Canis lupus familiaris: one gene and its partner. The protein of the gene in region 1 purifies or fractionates together with the protein of each later gene. This does not show direct contact. Links are inferred from orthologs where the notes say so. Each region holds a gene or a part of one and is shown on either strand. Other genes may lie near its edges.

The links.
Region 2: the proteins of SLC31A1 (region 1) and B3GAT3 purify together in Homo sapiens (co-immunoprecipitation; 3 studies listed by BioGRID and IntAct, with this or other methods). This does not show direct contact. The link is inferred for Canis lupus familiaris from reciprocal best matches to the Homo sapiens genes SLC31A1 and B3GAT3.

What each region holds. Positions count from the first base shown.
Region 1 is NC_049232.1:67,997,044-68,004,924, forward strand, and holds the start of SLC31A1 (high affinity copper uptake protein 1), read left to right. Parts: upstream 1-3,395; coding exon 3,396-3,477; intron 3,478-3,728; coding exon 3,729-3,781; intron 3,782-7,881. Other genes in the region: FKBP15 (FK506-binding protein 15), read right to left, coding at 3,242-3,294.
Region 2 is NC_049239.1:54,537,945-54,544,852, reverse strand, and holds B3GAT3 (galactosylgalactosylxylosylprotein 3-beta-glucuronosyltransferase 3), read right to left. Parts: upstream 5,150-6,908; 5' UTR 5,001-5,149; coding exon 4,919-5,000; intron 3,794-4,918; coding exon 3,619-3,793; intron 2,223-3,618; coding exon 1,862-2,222; intron 1,667-1,861; coding exon 1,376-1,666; coding exon of another isoform or gene 1,364-1,375; exon of another isoform or gene 1,362-1,363; intron 1,006-1,361; coding exon 907-1,005; 3' UTR 495-906; downstream 1-494. UniProt on the Homo sapiens protein: Glycosaminoglycans biosynthesis. Involved in forming the linkage tetrasaccharide present in heparan sulfate and chondroitin sulfate.

The DNA.
Region 1 (7,881 bases):
TCATGATCCTGGGGTCCTGAGATAGAGTCCTGCATCAGGGTCCCCAGAGGGAGCCTGCTTCTGCTTCTGCCTATGTCTCTGCCTCTCTGTGTGTCTCTCATGAATAAATAAGTCTTTAAAAAAAAAAACCAAAACATGTTTTAATTAAACTAACACTAGTTTAACACAGTTCAAATTTAACTTATAATGGTATATTAACTGTTAGTGCATAAAGTGCAAACTCTGCAGCTAGTTCTTCAGTCTACAAATCACTACATAACAGATACCCCTCATGAACAGTGAACAATTTTATCACTTTTTTCAGTCTTTTGGTGATTGGACACTGCACACCTGTTTTTCAATTCAGAGACAGAGAGCAAAGGGTGCGCTTGGTGCCGTCTTGTCTCCCAGTGATAAACCCATATGACATTTTACAAAAACAGATATTCAAAAGACAGAATTGGCCAACAAAGATAAAAGTACAGCACAGAAACTAATGTGATAATGCTGGAAGTGAAATTTAGGTCATAGTATAAATGAAGTTATAGAAGAAATGGTAAACTGTGGAACTGTTAACGTCACTGCTGTTTGAGAGGCTAAATGTGCAGTTAGAAGAACCTAATGAGGGAAAACATCAATATATATATAAGTGGTTATGATGAATGTCCCAGAAGAAATGACATACCAAAAAACTTCACATTAAAGGAACTCTTGGAAGTATTTTACAACATTGAAAACACAAAGGATAAAATGTCAGAAGCTGATCCAAACTTAGAAATATGACAATTTCCCAAGGCATAGAAGAAATCCCCACTCCTTATCATAAGTTGTACACACACACACACACACACACAAAATAAGCTGTACACACAGAGGTAAGCACTCTTGATTTTTTCCTTGATAAGTTTTTTTTTTTAAGATTTTATTTTTATTCATTTGAGAGAGAGACTGTTCGCACATGAAGTGGGTGGGGGGCGGCAGAGGTAGACAGAGAAGCAGACTCCCCACTGAGCAGTAAGCCTGATGCAGGACTCAATCCCAGGACCCAGAAAAAATGACCTGAGTGGAAGGCAGGTACTTAACTGACTGAGCCACCCAGGCGCCCCTCTTTATAAATTTTTGAAAACAGAAAACACTAAATCTTAAGGAATCAACAGTTTGTCTCAACCAAAATTTTTAAAAGACCATGAAACAACTGTAATCTTTCCCACTGATTATCAAGCTTACTTTGTAGTTTCAGCTTGCATGGCCATATTTGCAGTAACTCACTACCTTACAAAGCAAATTTGTATTTGGTTCCAATTTCTCTACATCCTTACCACCACACTGTCTTTTTGATAAACAGCCATTCTAGTGGGTGTGAAGTGGTATCTTTTTGCGGACTTGATTTGCCTTTCTGTAATAACCAATGATGTTGAACATCTTCTTATGTACTTACTGGCAATTTGTACATCATCTTCTTTGGAGAAATAGCTCTTTTGCTTATTTTATTTACTTTTTTTTAGATTTTATTTATTTATTCATGAGAGACCGAGAGAGAGGCAGAGACAGAGGCAGAGGGAGAAGCAGGCTCCCTGCGGGGAATCCCACGCGGGACTCGATCCCAGAACCCTGGGATTCCGCCCTGGGCAGAAGGCAGGCACTCAACCGCTGAGCCACCCAGGTGTCCTTCTTTTGCTTATTTTAAATTCGGTTCATCTCTTTATTTTTCACCTGAATCTATTTGCTAGCTCATCAGATTTAAAAAAAAAAAAAATAGGTGAGTTAAGCCTCAATCAAAAAGGTGACTACACAGACAACAGCAGCAGGCTGGACTATGTGGAAATTTTAGTGACTGTTTCGGGTGGAAATAGGGAAAAAGGAACCAAAGCAGAGTCTAAAAATAACTGAGCAACTGAAAGAACTCAAAGTGGAACTCAGTCGGTGTGGACCACCTAAAGTGAAAGCGGGGTGGCACAACGTGGTGAGGGTGAAAAAAGGACGTAAGGGTGGGTAATATACCGCCAGTCACAGTTTAAGTCAAAAGATCGTATTCAAGACCAAAAGAGGGCCGTGTCATTACGGCCACTATTGTATCAACTCTTCAACAGGACTAGAAGCAACTTGAGAGGAGAGTAGGCACAGCAGCTTAACCATTTTTGTGACCTCTCAGCGGTAAGATGAGGAGTGTATGTTGGGGTTTCGGTCATCCTTCTGTACATTCTTAAATGTGTTAAAAAAAAAAAAATGTCCGGGGATCCCTGGGTGGCGCAGCGGTTTGGCGCCTGCCTTTGGCTCAGGGCGCGATCCTGGAGACCCGGGATCGAGTCCCACGTCGGGCTCCCGGTGCATGGAGCCTGCTTCTTCCTCTGCCTGTGCCTGTGTCTCTGCCTCTCTCTCTCTGTGACTATCATAAATAAATTAATTTTAAAAAAAAACAAAAAAACATGTCCAAAGAAAAGGCTCTGAAATATCAGGATTGGCAGCTCACTTTCAAAGGGATCAAGCTGCCTTAGTAACGCAACGCGAGGGAAAAGGCTAACCTGATTATGGGAAGAGACAAACCCCTGTGGGTTGGAGAGCTGTGCCCCAGGCTGGTTTGTGTTAGGGCGGGGAGGGGGGGGGGGGGGGCAGCGGTCTCTTGCAGGGCTTCTAAGCTTTGGAGGACAACTTCACAGCTGTCACTCACTCAACAGGCACTTCCGGAGCACACACGATGCGCTGTGCTGAGCGCCAGGCAGAGATGAGCAGCAGCAGGAGTCCCTGTTCTGCCAGGGTTCATAACCTAGTAAGGACAGGGGGGTTATTCACTAGCCTAGCTGTAGGAATAAGGAGGAAAAGAAGCGAGGCATCGTGCCTGGGTCTGTGGGAGAAGGGAAAGCGCCCAAAGGGGACATCCGGGCTGGGCCCTCAAGGATGCTGGAGCTGACCCACAAGGGCCAGGGAACTCTCAGGTGTCACTGCCTTGTCCACGGGGAAGAGAAAGTCTCCTACGAGCCCCCAGCTGACTCCTATAAGCCCTGAGCCAGATGCTCTCACAGGACAAACTCAACCACAAAGCAAAAGGCGAACCTCAGGGCCCTCCTGAGGGACGAGGGACATGCCAGGTCCAGCACCGAGGGGCCCCGACACAGCACAGTTTGGAGACCTGCGGGGCTCCGGAACGTGGCGGGGGGCCCGGACCCGGAAGTCGGGGAGAAGTCTGACACCAGAGCGACCCCTCCAGCCACCTGCCCAGTTCCCTTAAGCTACGCCCCCTGTCCCAAGCTTCTCGGTCACTCACCCGCCGCTCGGCGACAGGAAGTCGGTGTCGTCCTCGTCTCCCCCACCGAACATCGCGGTGCCTTTCTCCCAGCCGCAGGGCGCGAGGGGCGGGGGACGGAGGTGGGAGGTGGAGGGGGAAGTAAGAGTGTTTTCGGGGCTTGTGCTGTCGTGAAATGCCGCGGCGGCGTGCTGCTTTCCGGCAGGACGAACTCTCGCACGGTTGTTCCGCGGGGAGGGGTCTAGGCGCGGGAGAAGGTGGGGAGGGGGGGTGCGGAAGGCAAATGGGAGGGCCTCGCGAGCACGCGCGCCCGTGACGTCAGGCTCCTGCAGCCTGCGGAGGCGGTGAAACCCGCGGGATCTCCGAAATCCCGCGCAGGGATTGGCCGACGCGGCAGGGGGCGGGGCAGGGGCGGGGCGGGGGCGGGAATCCGCGGCCTCGGTGGCGGTCGTGGACACGTAGAGCCCGGCAGAGGTGGAGGGGGCTTCCGAAGAGTCGTGGAGGTGGTGACGGGTTGAGGTTCTAAGAGGGCGGCGCCGGCGGCGGGAGTCGATCTGGAAGGTAAGCACCCCCAGCCCGCTCCCGCCTCCGGCTGGGGCACGGTCCTCTCCCCGCCGGACCAGGACCCTCCATGCGGCTCCGCTCTGCTTTGCGAAAGGAGACAGGGCCTGGGGCTGGCGGTCCGGAGAACTGATCTTTTCGGCTGGCCCCCTGCAGTGACAGAGCTAGGGGTGACCTTGGGGTTGGGTGTCCGGTGCCTCACTTTCCCCGTCTATGAAACGGGCCTGTCGTCCCTTCCGCTTGTCCCCCGTGGCCGACCTCGCTGTTTATTCAGCGGGCTCTTTGTCCAGGGCTCCTATGTGCCGGCTGGCCAAGAAGCTTTTAGACCTCAGAGGTCATCGGACTGAAATCCCAGCCTCCTCCTCATAGCCCCAGAACTTGCAATAGGGGACACGAAGTAATAAGCACTTGGATGACTAGTCCGAGGTCGCACGGAGTAAAGGACAGACTGGCGCTGGATCCCTGGTCTCTTGAATCGGGACCGACTGGGGGAATGAGAACCTCATCGACCCTTAAGCACAGTTCGCCCTTACAGAGTGGTTACCGCTCGACTGTGGCATGGGTCTGGAGAGAATTCCCCTCCTTGTGCAGGTGGGGTACCGAAGAGCTGGGATGTTCCGGGAGTGAGTGATGGAAAGGACGAGACTTCAGCAGTGGAAATCCCCAGTCCCAATCTTGGTCTGGATTTTGCTGTCTTCTTGCCACACACCTAAGTCAACATCAGTTGTTGGGGACTTCTCCGTCTCCACTTTCCACCCTCTCTGTATCCTATAGAAAGTGTTTCTTTGGTAAGCTGATAGGATTCTGGAAACAATCTCAGGGTAAGCCTGGTTTAGCCAAGGTTTACCCTCTATCTGGATGAGCAGGTACTGTATCACTGTCGCATCCGTTTCCGTAGATCTCAACGGGGTTCTTTCACCCAAGGCTTCTCCAGATCAGATTAGTACAACAGGTGGCCCTTACCGGGATGTTTTACTCTGTTCACTTGAAATTAAAGTGAGATGATTGGTAGTGATTCACTTCCTAGAGAACTTCACACCTCTCGGCACTTCCCTTGTCCTGCTTTCCAGTATAGTTTACTTCTTTCTGTGTGCTCCTACTAAACTGTAAGCTCCTCAAGGACGGAGACTGTTTTATTCCTTGATGTCACCTGTGTCACAGAGCGCTGTGCCTTGGTAATAGTGGGTTCTTACCCTTTGTTAGACTGCGTAATGGAATTCATCCTTATGCCCATTCCTTAATTCATGCTCTTAGGAATTTTTTCAAGTGTGATCCCCAGAGCCCAGCAGTGGCTCTTGCCTTCCAGAAAGATAAAAATGCTGTGCTAGCTGGGAACTCTCAGGGTTGCTTCATCTCTTTTGTTAGCTGAAGATTGTTTTACTATCGTTTAAAGCTCTAGGGGACGGGAAAGGAGGATAGAATAGTTAGAATGTGTAACTCCGATTTTTATTGGTAGAGTATTCCTCCATTAAACTGAGGGACAGGGCTGTTATCTGCTTCCTGTGTCCATTTTACAGATTACGATGGTTAAAGCAATGAAGGCTGACAGTGAAAACAGTGATGCAACTGGAGGCTAAGCAATAGAACTGAAACTCTTTGCAGCACCTCTGTTTACGATATGAACTTGGCTACCTCTCAAGAAAGGAAAATAAACTGCCTAAGTGACATCACTCTTTCTAACCCTTTCCCCAGTACTGGTCTTCGTTACTCCAGCACTGAAACATCTGAATAGTGCTTTTAAACACATGCTAAAAGATCACTTGAGTACTTATCTTGAATTCTTGAGTTCGGGATATTTTCATTCAGGGTATTTAAGTAGCCTTTTTAGATAGGTAGGCATGTAAAATCTGGATCAGCGTTTTGGCAATCGAGATACCAGAGATCTGCATGCCCAGGTCACCATTGTGGGAACACAGCCCTTAGTTCCGAGAAAGGGGAAGATGGTGGTGAGGTTTCCTCAGTCTTTCAGGATTTGAATTGCAGGATTACATTGCAATTCAATGTAATCAAGGTACATTGAAGAGCCACTGTTGGGGCCCATGGCTGGCTCAGTTGCTTAAATGTCTGACTCTTGATTTCAGCTCAGGTCATGAGATCGACCCCACATTAGGCTCCATGCTCAGTGGAGGAGATTCTGCTTGAGATTCCCTCTCTCACTCTGCCCCTCCCTCCACCTGTGCTTTCTCTCTAATAAGTAAAGAAATAAGATCTTTTTTAAAAATTGAGGGGAAAATTAAATAAAAAGCCACTGTCATCCTGAATTAGAATATTGGACCAGGAATCGGGAAACCTGAATTCCCATCCCAGTCCTTCTAACTCACCTTGAGCTTGGACCAGTCTCCCTAAACACTTTGTAAAAGGAGTGGAATAGACCCACATATCTATTAAGTACTGCTGGGGATACAGAGGTAAGGAAGGCACAACCCTGATCTCAGGTTGGAATTAAGCATTTTTGTTTGTTTGTTTGTTTGTTTTGCCTAAATACACAGTTTTTAGATGTATTTATAAAATATATGGACTCCCTCCACAGATTAACCAGGAAGTGGCAATTTTAACAGTTCCTTTCAAATTACCAACAAACTTGCTATAGAGATGATAATTTTTATATATAGGTGCACTCATACTAATCTGTACTAGTGAATGCATTGTAAATATTAAAGATTAGGGTACCTTGGTGGCTCAGACATGGAGCATTGGCCTTCGGCTCAGGTCATGATCCTGAGGTCCTGGGATCGAGTTCCGCGTTGGGCTCCCCACAAGGAGCCTGCTTCTCCCTCTGCCTATGTCTCTGCCTCTCTCTTTCTGTCTCTCATGAATAAATACCTTAAAAAAAAAAAACAACTATTAAAGTTTAAAGTTATGGCCAGGTTAGATGATAGGTGTGGTGATAGCAATATGAATTGAATATAGGTTTAGGGGAGTTAGTATTGTGTTCTTTCTGTTCAGTTACTGAAAACAGAAAAATGTTAGAAGACAGTTCAAGAAATGTCTGAAAACCTTCTCTGTGTAAGGCACTGTGCTGGGTGTTGCCTGGAATAGGAAAATGAATAAGTCATTGTTCTTGTCCTCAAAGTGCTTATAGTTGAACAGTGGAGATAATTGAAGTATACAAATAATTATAGAGAGGAACATAGCGAAGTAAATTCCCATAAGTAGAAATTAATTATTGTAGGATTTCAAAGGAAGAAGAGATCATATCTAGTTTGGAGGAGTATGTGGGATTAGATAATGGGCTTTGAAGATGAGTGGGATTCCAAGTGGAAATGAGGAAATAAGGTTCTCCAGATTGAGAGAGTGGCTTTGGCAAAAGTACAAAGGCAGGAGAGAAGGCACAAATTTCTTACAAGACCAGAGTTGCCCTCTTATTTGATGCAATTAGGGCCAACAGTTGGCTAATTAAAAAAAATAAGACCGGAATCACACAGGTATTAGTTACACATAGACCTTTAACATTTGATTTTAACTTAAAGCATAAGCATCCTTTTGCCATTCTTTAAAATAAGCCTTTTATTGGGGTGTGGGCCCCAGGGAGGGGGCCAGACCTTGTCCTTGCCTTCTGCTTGTTTCTGTAAATAGTTTTATTGGAACACAGCCATGCTCATCTGTTGACATATCTATGGCTACTTTGACGTACAAAGTAAAGTAGTTGTATGTGTCTGTGTGATTCATCTTTATCTAGTCTTTCTAAAGCTTTCAACTTGGTTTTCATAGAAACAACTACCAGAGTCCACACAGTATAGTACAGTAAATTCTTAAGCTCTGGAGCCAAGTTGTTTTGCCGTTTATTAGTTATACAGGTCTTGGGCAAGTTGCTCAGTTTTCTCCTTTAGAAAATAAGGACAACGATAGTATCTAGCTTCTAAGGGTTCTTGTGAAGATTATAGGAGTCAATTCATGTAAAGCACTTAGAACAGCGTCTGGCAGGTAGCAAGTACTCAATATTAGCGCTGCTGTTATTTTCCTCTTGTCACTTCCCTTAATTGCTTTTCATAATACTTTATTAAATTATATTCTTACATTAATAAACACAACTGGCATAAATTGATTTATGAACAAACCTACCTGATACTTGATAAGCACCCAGCTTCACTGAGGGAAAG
Region 2 (6,908 bases), on another chromosome or scaffold:
TAGGTGTCCGGGGCCTAGCCCCTGTGGCCAGAACCACCGGACAACCAGAAAGCACACGGGGTGATGGGAGAGCAACGTGGGGAGAGCTGGAGACTGCTCCTGGCACACAGACTCAATAAAGCTTTTGGACTGAAACCACTGATCTTCCTCTTCAAGGGGGTAGAGGGCCCTGGGAGAACTGATTTCTATCTGATAAAGAAGCCGGGACTCCCAGGTCCTGACTCTGGTGAGGATCAAATGCAAGAACCAGGGATCCCTGGGTGGCGCAGCGGTTTAGCGCCTGCCTTTGGCCCAGGGCGCGATTCTGGAGACCCGGGATCGAGTCCCACGTCAGGCTCCCGGTGCATGGAGCCTGCTTCTCCCTCTGCCTATGTCTCTGCCTCTCTCTCTCTCTCTGTGACTATCATGAATAAATAAAAATTAAAAAAAAAAAAAAAAAAAAAAAAAAAAAATGCAAGAACCAGACGTGCGTTACAAAGGAAACCAGAGGCCCCTCCAGCTCATGATCTTTTATTCTGGAGGTGTGGGGGGGTGGGATCCGCATGCTCAGGTGGGGAGGGTCCAGCCCAGCTCCTCCAGCCCCCCAGCCCATGCCTAGCCCCAATAAGTTACCCAGTTGCTTAGCAGCCCTCCTGAGTGTCTGTCCTTCTGCCCCACCCCAGACCGAGCTGACCTGGCTCAACACAAGGGCCGCTTGTCCCCAGCCTGTGGGCAGTGCCACATGGCAGGCTGGGGGAGAGGAGAAGCAGCTGGGCCACGCTCTGGGGCTGAGGGGGCAGAGGAGCCACCCCCTGGCTCTGAGGGGTCAGGATTTGGAAATCTGCCGCCCAGGCTGGCCAGGGGCCCAGTCCCCCAGCTTCGTGCCTGACGAGGTGGTAGTCAGGGGCGGGGGTGGGGGGGCCGCCATCACACCTCAACAGCTGGGTCTGAGCCTCGGCCCTGCCGCTGTAGCTGTTCCTCCTGCTTCATCTTGGGCTTCTCTGTCCGTGTATGCCACACCAGGACCTGTTGCGGGAGCATTTCAGTTAGAACTGGGGCCCACAGCATAGCCCGAATTCTCTTACCGCTGCCTCTACAGACATAGCATTAGATTCAAGTGTGCAGGGCAGGGGCTGTAGTGCCTCTAAAATAGGGCTTTCTCCCCTTACCCCCTCTGGGCTACATGGGTGCCCAGGTGATAGAGTGCAGGAGACCATTTCTTTCCCTGGCTCCCAGCTCCCCCTCCAGGAGAGTAAGCAAGGTTGAGTCTGAGCTCTGCAGGGTCCTTCCTTGTTCAAACAACTGTCCTTCCCCTCCTCCCCAAAACCTTCCTCCACATTCCCCATCACCCTTCCATATCCCAGAGCCAGGTTTCTACCCACCTCTAGCCCCTTACCCGAGTGCAGTTAGCTGCCCGGGGCTCCAGGTCCTTGGGATCCACAAGGTGACTCAGGAGACTGCTCTCCAGGTGGCCCCGGGGAGCAGTAGCATCAAATTGGGCATTGGGCTTAGCCAACAGCAAGGACAGGGCAACAGCAAATCCTGCCATATCCACTGGGAAGGGCCTGTTGGGCTCCCATGCCGTGTGGAAGCCCACAACCCGGCCATCCTGTACCTGAGGGCCCTCAAATCGCAGGCCGCCCACCAGCCCCACGGGCCACACTGAGACACCACGGGTCCAGCGCATCTAAGAGAGGTCAGGAGAAAAGAAACAGACAGGGTGGCCCAGGGGCAAGGGAGCAGCAGGAAGGGCCAATGGGCTCATTCTGCCCCACTGCTCCCCATCCTCCCACAACATCTTTCCAGAGAAACACCAGTAACCAAGGGAACAGGTGAAGCTGGCTCCACCTGCCTCCTTCTCCATCCCCACCCCAGGGCTCACCTCCTCAAAGAGTTCCCGGCTGTAGGTGTTGTCATCATCAGCAAAGTACACGACTCCCCGGGTGCCGGCTGGGGGGGGGTCCTTCTCTCCCCCGACAGCACCCCCTCCACTCCGGAGCCAGTCGAGGGCCCTGTTGCGTTGTTCTACACCACGGGGCCGAACCCAGCCTGGCTCACCCTCTCTGAGCCGCTGGGCCTTGGGGGTGAGGACCGCCAGGTGTGTGAAGAGGAGGCCCGAGGCAGCCAGCAGCCCTGAGACCAATGGGGTGGGGCCCTCAGCATCCTCCACCAGCAGCCAATGCAGCCGGGGCACCAGGCTCAGTGTCTGGGACAGCCGCACCAGCTCCGCTTTCTGCACCAGCCTGCAGGGGAAAAGACACGGAGGAGGGCAAGGGGTCGGGACCATTTGCTCACTCCCGCCAGTATACATAGCTTCTCCCGGGCCCCTTCTAGTATCCCCCACAGCGTTTGCCCAACCAATACCCAAATTCCTCTTCTTGCCTGTCAACTTCACACCGCACTCTCCTGCCCTGCTCCTGCAGCCCATGTCTGGCACCCGCCTCAACCCCAGGGCTCTGGCTGTGGGAGACTACAAGTTAAGGGCACAGGCTTTGGAATCAGACAGATCTAGGTTTGAATGCCAGCTCTGTAACTTAGTAGGTGAGACACTGGGGGAAATGGGTCAGATCTCCCCAAGCCTGTTTCCTTGGCTGTGAAAATGGGAATAACAGCACTTTACAACGATTTTGTCTTAAAGGTCAAAAAAAAATTTTTTTTTAAGATTTTATTTATTCATTCATAAGAGACATAGAAAGAGAGAGGCAGAAACACAGGCAGAGGGAGAAGCAGGTTCCATGCAGGGAGCCCAATGTGGGACTCGATCCCAGCACTCCAGGATCACGCCCTGAGCCAAAGGCAGACACGCCCAACTGCTGAGCCACCCAGGCTTCCCCTTAAAGAGCAAATTTTAACGACTTTCTAAAATACCAGGTGCTCTTCCTGGGTTTCCAGGATGAGAAATTTAGATGAGCCCTTTGCCTCATTCCTCTCCAGGAGAGGATTTATCTAAGGTTAGACAGGAAACTGGGAAGGTGTGGCCCAGTCTTTTCTAGATTTATCCCTCAATTGCTCTGCCTGCCGTGGGGTTGGGGCTGCGTGTGTGGAAGGGGACAGGGTCTAGAGCTGCCTGTGCTTCCATGGGTCAGCCATTTGATTCCCCTGAGGTGTTGGCAGGCTCTTTAGCTATAAACCTAAAACCAGGTTCCCCAGGGGTTTGTACGAAAATAAAGTTACATTTTAATTAAAAAACAAAACAAAACAAAAAAAGCCCTTACTTAGCACAGTGGCTGGTAGAGAGTGAACATACCACAAATCATAGCTGGGGTAACTGTTTCTAGACCCTAGTATGACGGTAAGGCCAGGCCCTTTTCTACTTCAATTAGCCTGCGGTCCCCAGACTTTCTCACCAAAGGATCCCTGAGAGAGTGAATTCATGGGCAAGCTCAGCACTTCTTTGAAACTTTGTTATTCTATCTTAAAATTTGTTAGGAACTGTGTATTCTATTTCATAGCATACCCCTGTTTTACTAGAGAAACAGTCATTTCCCCACAAATCTTTGAGGACTGATGTGGTTCCTTTATCCTGTCATTTGGCATGCCCTCACCTACAGAACACCCTCTAGCCCAGTGCCTCCCCAAACTCCATCAACACCAACATCCTGGCCCTGGCAGGCCTCTTGGGTACACCAGACCCCATACCTGGCATAGGTGGGGGTAACAACATAGATAGTAGGCAGGGCCTCAGGTTCAGGGGGCTGGGCAGGGGCAGGGGGTGGGCGCCGGAGATCAGCTTGCAGCTGGGAAATCCTCAGATCCTTCTGCCGAAGCTGCTCTGCTGCTGCGCGCAGGGGAGGGAGGCAGTCACATGGCTGACCTGGTCCCAGGAAGCAGGGATGGGGGCAGAGAACCACAGCATGTTGAGCATCCCAAAGGGGCAGAACGTTCTCATTCAACTCCTAGCCAGTGTAGGGGGAAATCTCCTGACAGCTTCCCCAACAGCCTCTTCCACACCTCGGGGGTGGGGGGGCTCACGGTCTCAATCAGCAGCCCTCTCCAACCACAGTCAAGTCCATCTGTTACAGCTTTCATTTGGATATTGAGCTGCTCATCCGCCTCCAACCCTTCTACTTGCTGATGCTCACGTTGCTGCCTTCTAGAGATGTAAAGAACAACTAAATCTCCTGAAACAGGGCAGTCTTTTAAATACCTGAAGATCAAGCCCTGAGCCGTCTGCGTAAGCGGCAGAGTTCAATCTGTTCCCGTGGCTGTGTGACCAAAGACTCATAAAATTCATTGATTCCATTATTGGATAAATATTTATTGGAGGCTCCTCGTGGGAGGCACAGCCTCAGGTGCTGCGGATACAGCAGGGAGGAAAGCAGACATGGTCCCTGCCTTCATGGAGCTTTCGGTTTAGTGGAGGAGGCAGGCACTGAGCAAAGAAACGAATTAGTAAAATTGTCACGAGCTGTGATAAGGGCCACGAAGGAGACGTATAGGATAGAGTATAAAAGAGAGTCCAGAAAAGGCAGTGACTCTAGCTAAAGTGGCCGGGGAAGGACTCTCTGAGGCGGTGACATTTGGGCTGAGACCTCAAGGGTGAGAAAGAGGCGACCGGGAAAGAAATGGGGGAAAAGCGCTGCAGCCAGAAGGGACAGGGTAAGCGCTTGAGAGAGCAACGCGCCTGGGCTTTTCGAGAAACTGTCACACAGCCCGTGCGGCCGGAGCGGAGCGAGCGAGTGGGGGAGGTAAGGGGGTTGCCAGGGCGGAGGGCCACAGGCCACGCGGGGCCGCGCGGACTCTGGAAAGGGGCCCGCAATTCCTCCGAGGTGCGGCGGGGGCCGCGGCGCGTCCCAGAGAGGAGAGCCCGGCTGCGGCACGGGCTGTCGGGGGCCGAGCGGGCTGCACGGTGCCTGCGCGGGGCTTCACCCCCAGGGCGGGCTGCAGGCGGCGGGCGCCCTCAGGCGGGTCCGCCGCACCCCCGCCCCGCCCCGCTCACCGAGCTGCACCAGCGCGTAGAGGAGGCCTGCGATCGACACCAGGAAGTAGGCGAGAAACACGTTCTTCAGCTTCAGCTTCATGGCCGTGCGGCCGCCGGCGCCGGAGCAGGCGGGGTCCGGGGGGAACCGACGGGGGGTCCCCGCCCCCCATCCGCCAGCCTGCAGACCCCGCCCCTGCAGCGGCCCCGCCCCGCGGCCCGCCTTCCTCACGCTCCTCTTCACCAGCTCCCGGGAGCCGGGGCCGCCGGCGCCCGCCCGCGCCCACTTCCGGTCACTCTGCACCCCGCCCCCCGGGCTAATTTCCGGTCCCACCGCCTAGTTCTGGGAACCACGGGAGTCGGTGACGTCACATCCGGCGTGGCGTGCTCGCGTGGCGGGCGGTCAGTCGCCTGGCGGGAGTGACTTTGAGACGTTTCCCTTGGTCTCCAGACCCAGATTTCATTTAAAAAAAAACAAAAAAAAAAAAGTATTTATTTATTCATCATAGACACACACAGAGAGAGGGACAGAGACAGGCAGAGGGGGAAGCAGGCTTCATGCGGGGAGCCTGACGCGGAACTCGATCCCGGAACTCCAGGATCACGGCAGGTGCTAAACCGCTGAGCCCCCCGGGGATCCCCATTTCCTCATTCTCATTCATTCATCCCTCAGCCACGGGACGCCATGGCTACAAATGCTTGTTTCATGAATGAATGAAATCTGGGACTTCTCTGTGCCCGGCCTGTGCTCTGGGCGTCCCTCACTCATTCCTCACTCTAGTCCTGAGACAGGTGGTATTGTCCCCATTTTACGGACAAGTAACCAAGGTCCACAAAAACATGAAACCGCCACTATGGAGTTTTCTGTGTGCCTTCGAGGTACCTGTCTCCAAAACCAGTACGCCTCCTGCCCCCCCCCCCTTTTTTTTAAGATTTTATTTACTCATGACAGACACAGAGGGAAAGAGAGAGGCAGAGACACAGGCAGAGGGAGAAGCAGGCTCCATGCAGGAAGCCCGACGTGGGACTCGATCCCGGATCTCCAGGATCCGGCCCTGGGCTGAAAGCGGCGCTAAACCGCTGAGCCACCCGGGCTGCCCCTGCCCCCCCCCCCCCCCCCCCCCCCCCCCGTTTCTTAAACGGATGACAATAGGAGGCAGGGAGTGGGGTGCCAAGGGAGTGCACTACGTCCCAGCAAACTAACTGGAAATATTTCTTGAGCTAAGAATTCCATGAGCACATTCCCTAACTACTCAGGTACAAGCCTTCCTGAGCATTTTCCCTAAAAAAAAAAAAAAAAAAAAAATCGTTTCTTATAATCTCTCAAGACTGATAAGTCACTTTACAAAATGGAGTGATCTACTTCCTGTCACTGAAACAATGGGGAATTTAAAAAAGTGATGCCAAAGAGAAGCAGCCTTTTTCATGAGAACATCTGACTATAAAGCTGTTTCTATTCAAGACGGACCCCATCAGCTCTGGTCACCACTGTTTAAGCCTCCTAAAATCTGATGACCTTGCTGGACTCCTCTATGAAAATATTGGCATCTAGCAAGTTGAGGAAGACGTACTCACTCATTTTGCTGATCTAATGAGGTTTATGCTGAAGCTAGATGAAAATGTCAGGCCCTCAGGCTTCTAAGGGTCTGTGGTTCAGGTCAGAACTAGAATCCGGACACCAACAGTTATTTATGGTTTATCTCTTTATTGTTTCTCCTTTTATCAAAACCTGTCACAGCTGGGGGCCAAGAGGAAGTAAAAAAAATTGCCACAAATATTCCCCCTTGTCCCCAGTCAGTCTTCCCCCACCCCTCACCCAGAGCTTCCCACCAACCCTGGGCACACATGATCATCTCCCCCCACCCTCAGCCTTCTCCCAGCAATAAATACAGGTGATCGTGATTCGATGAAACCAAAACAGATTTCTCCATCTTAAATGCCCCCAAAAGGGACAAAAAGGGGGCAAAAGAAGTTTAATGCTGATACCCTCTTCAGGAAGAGTGGAAAACTT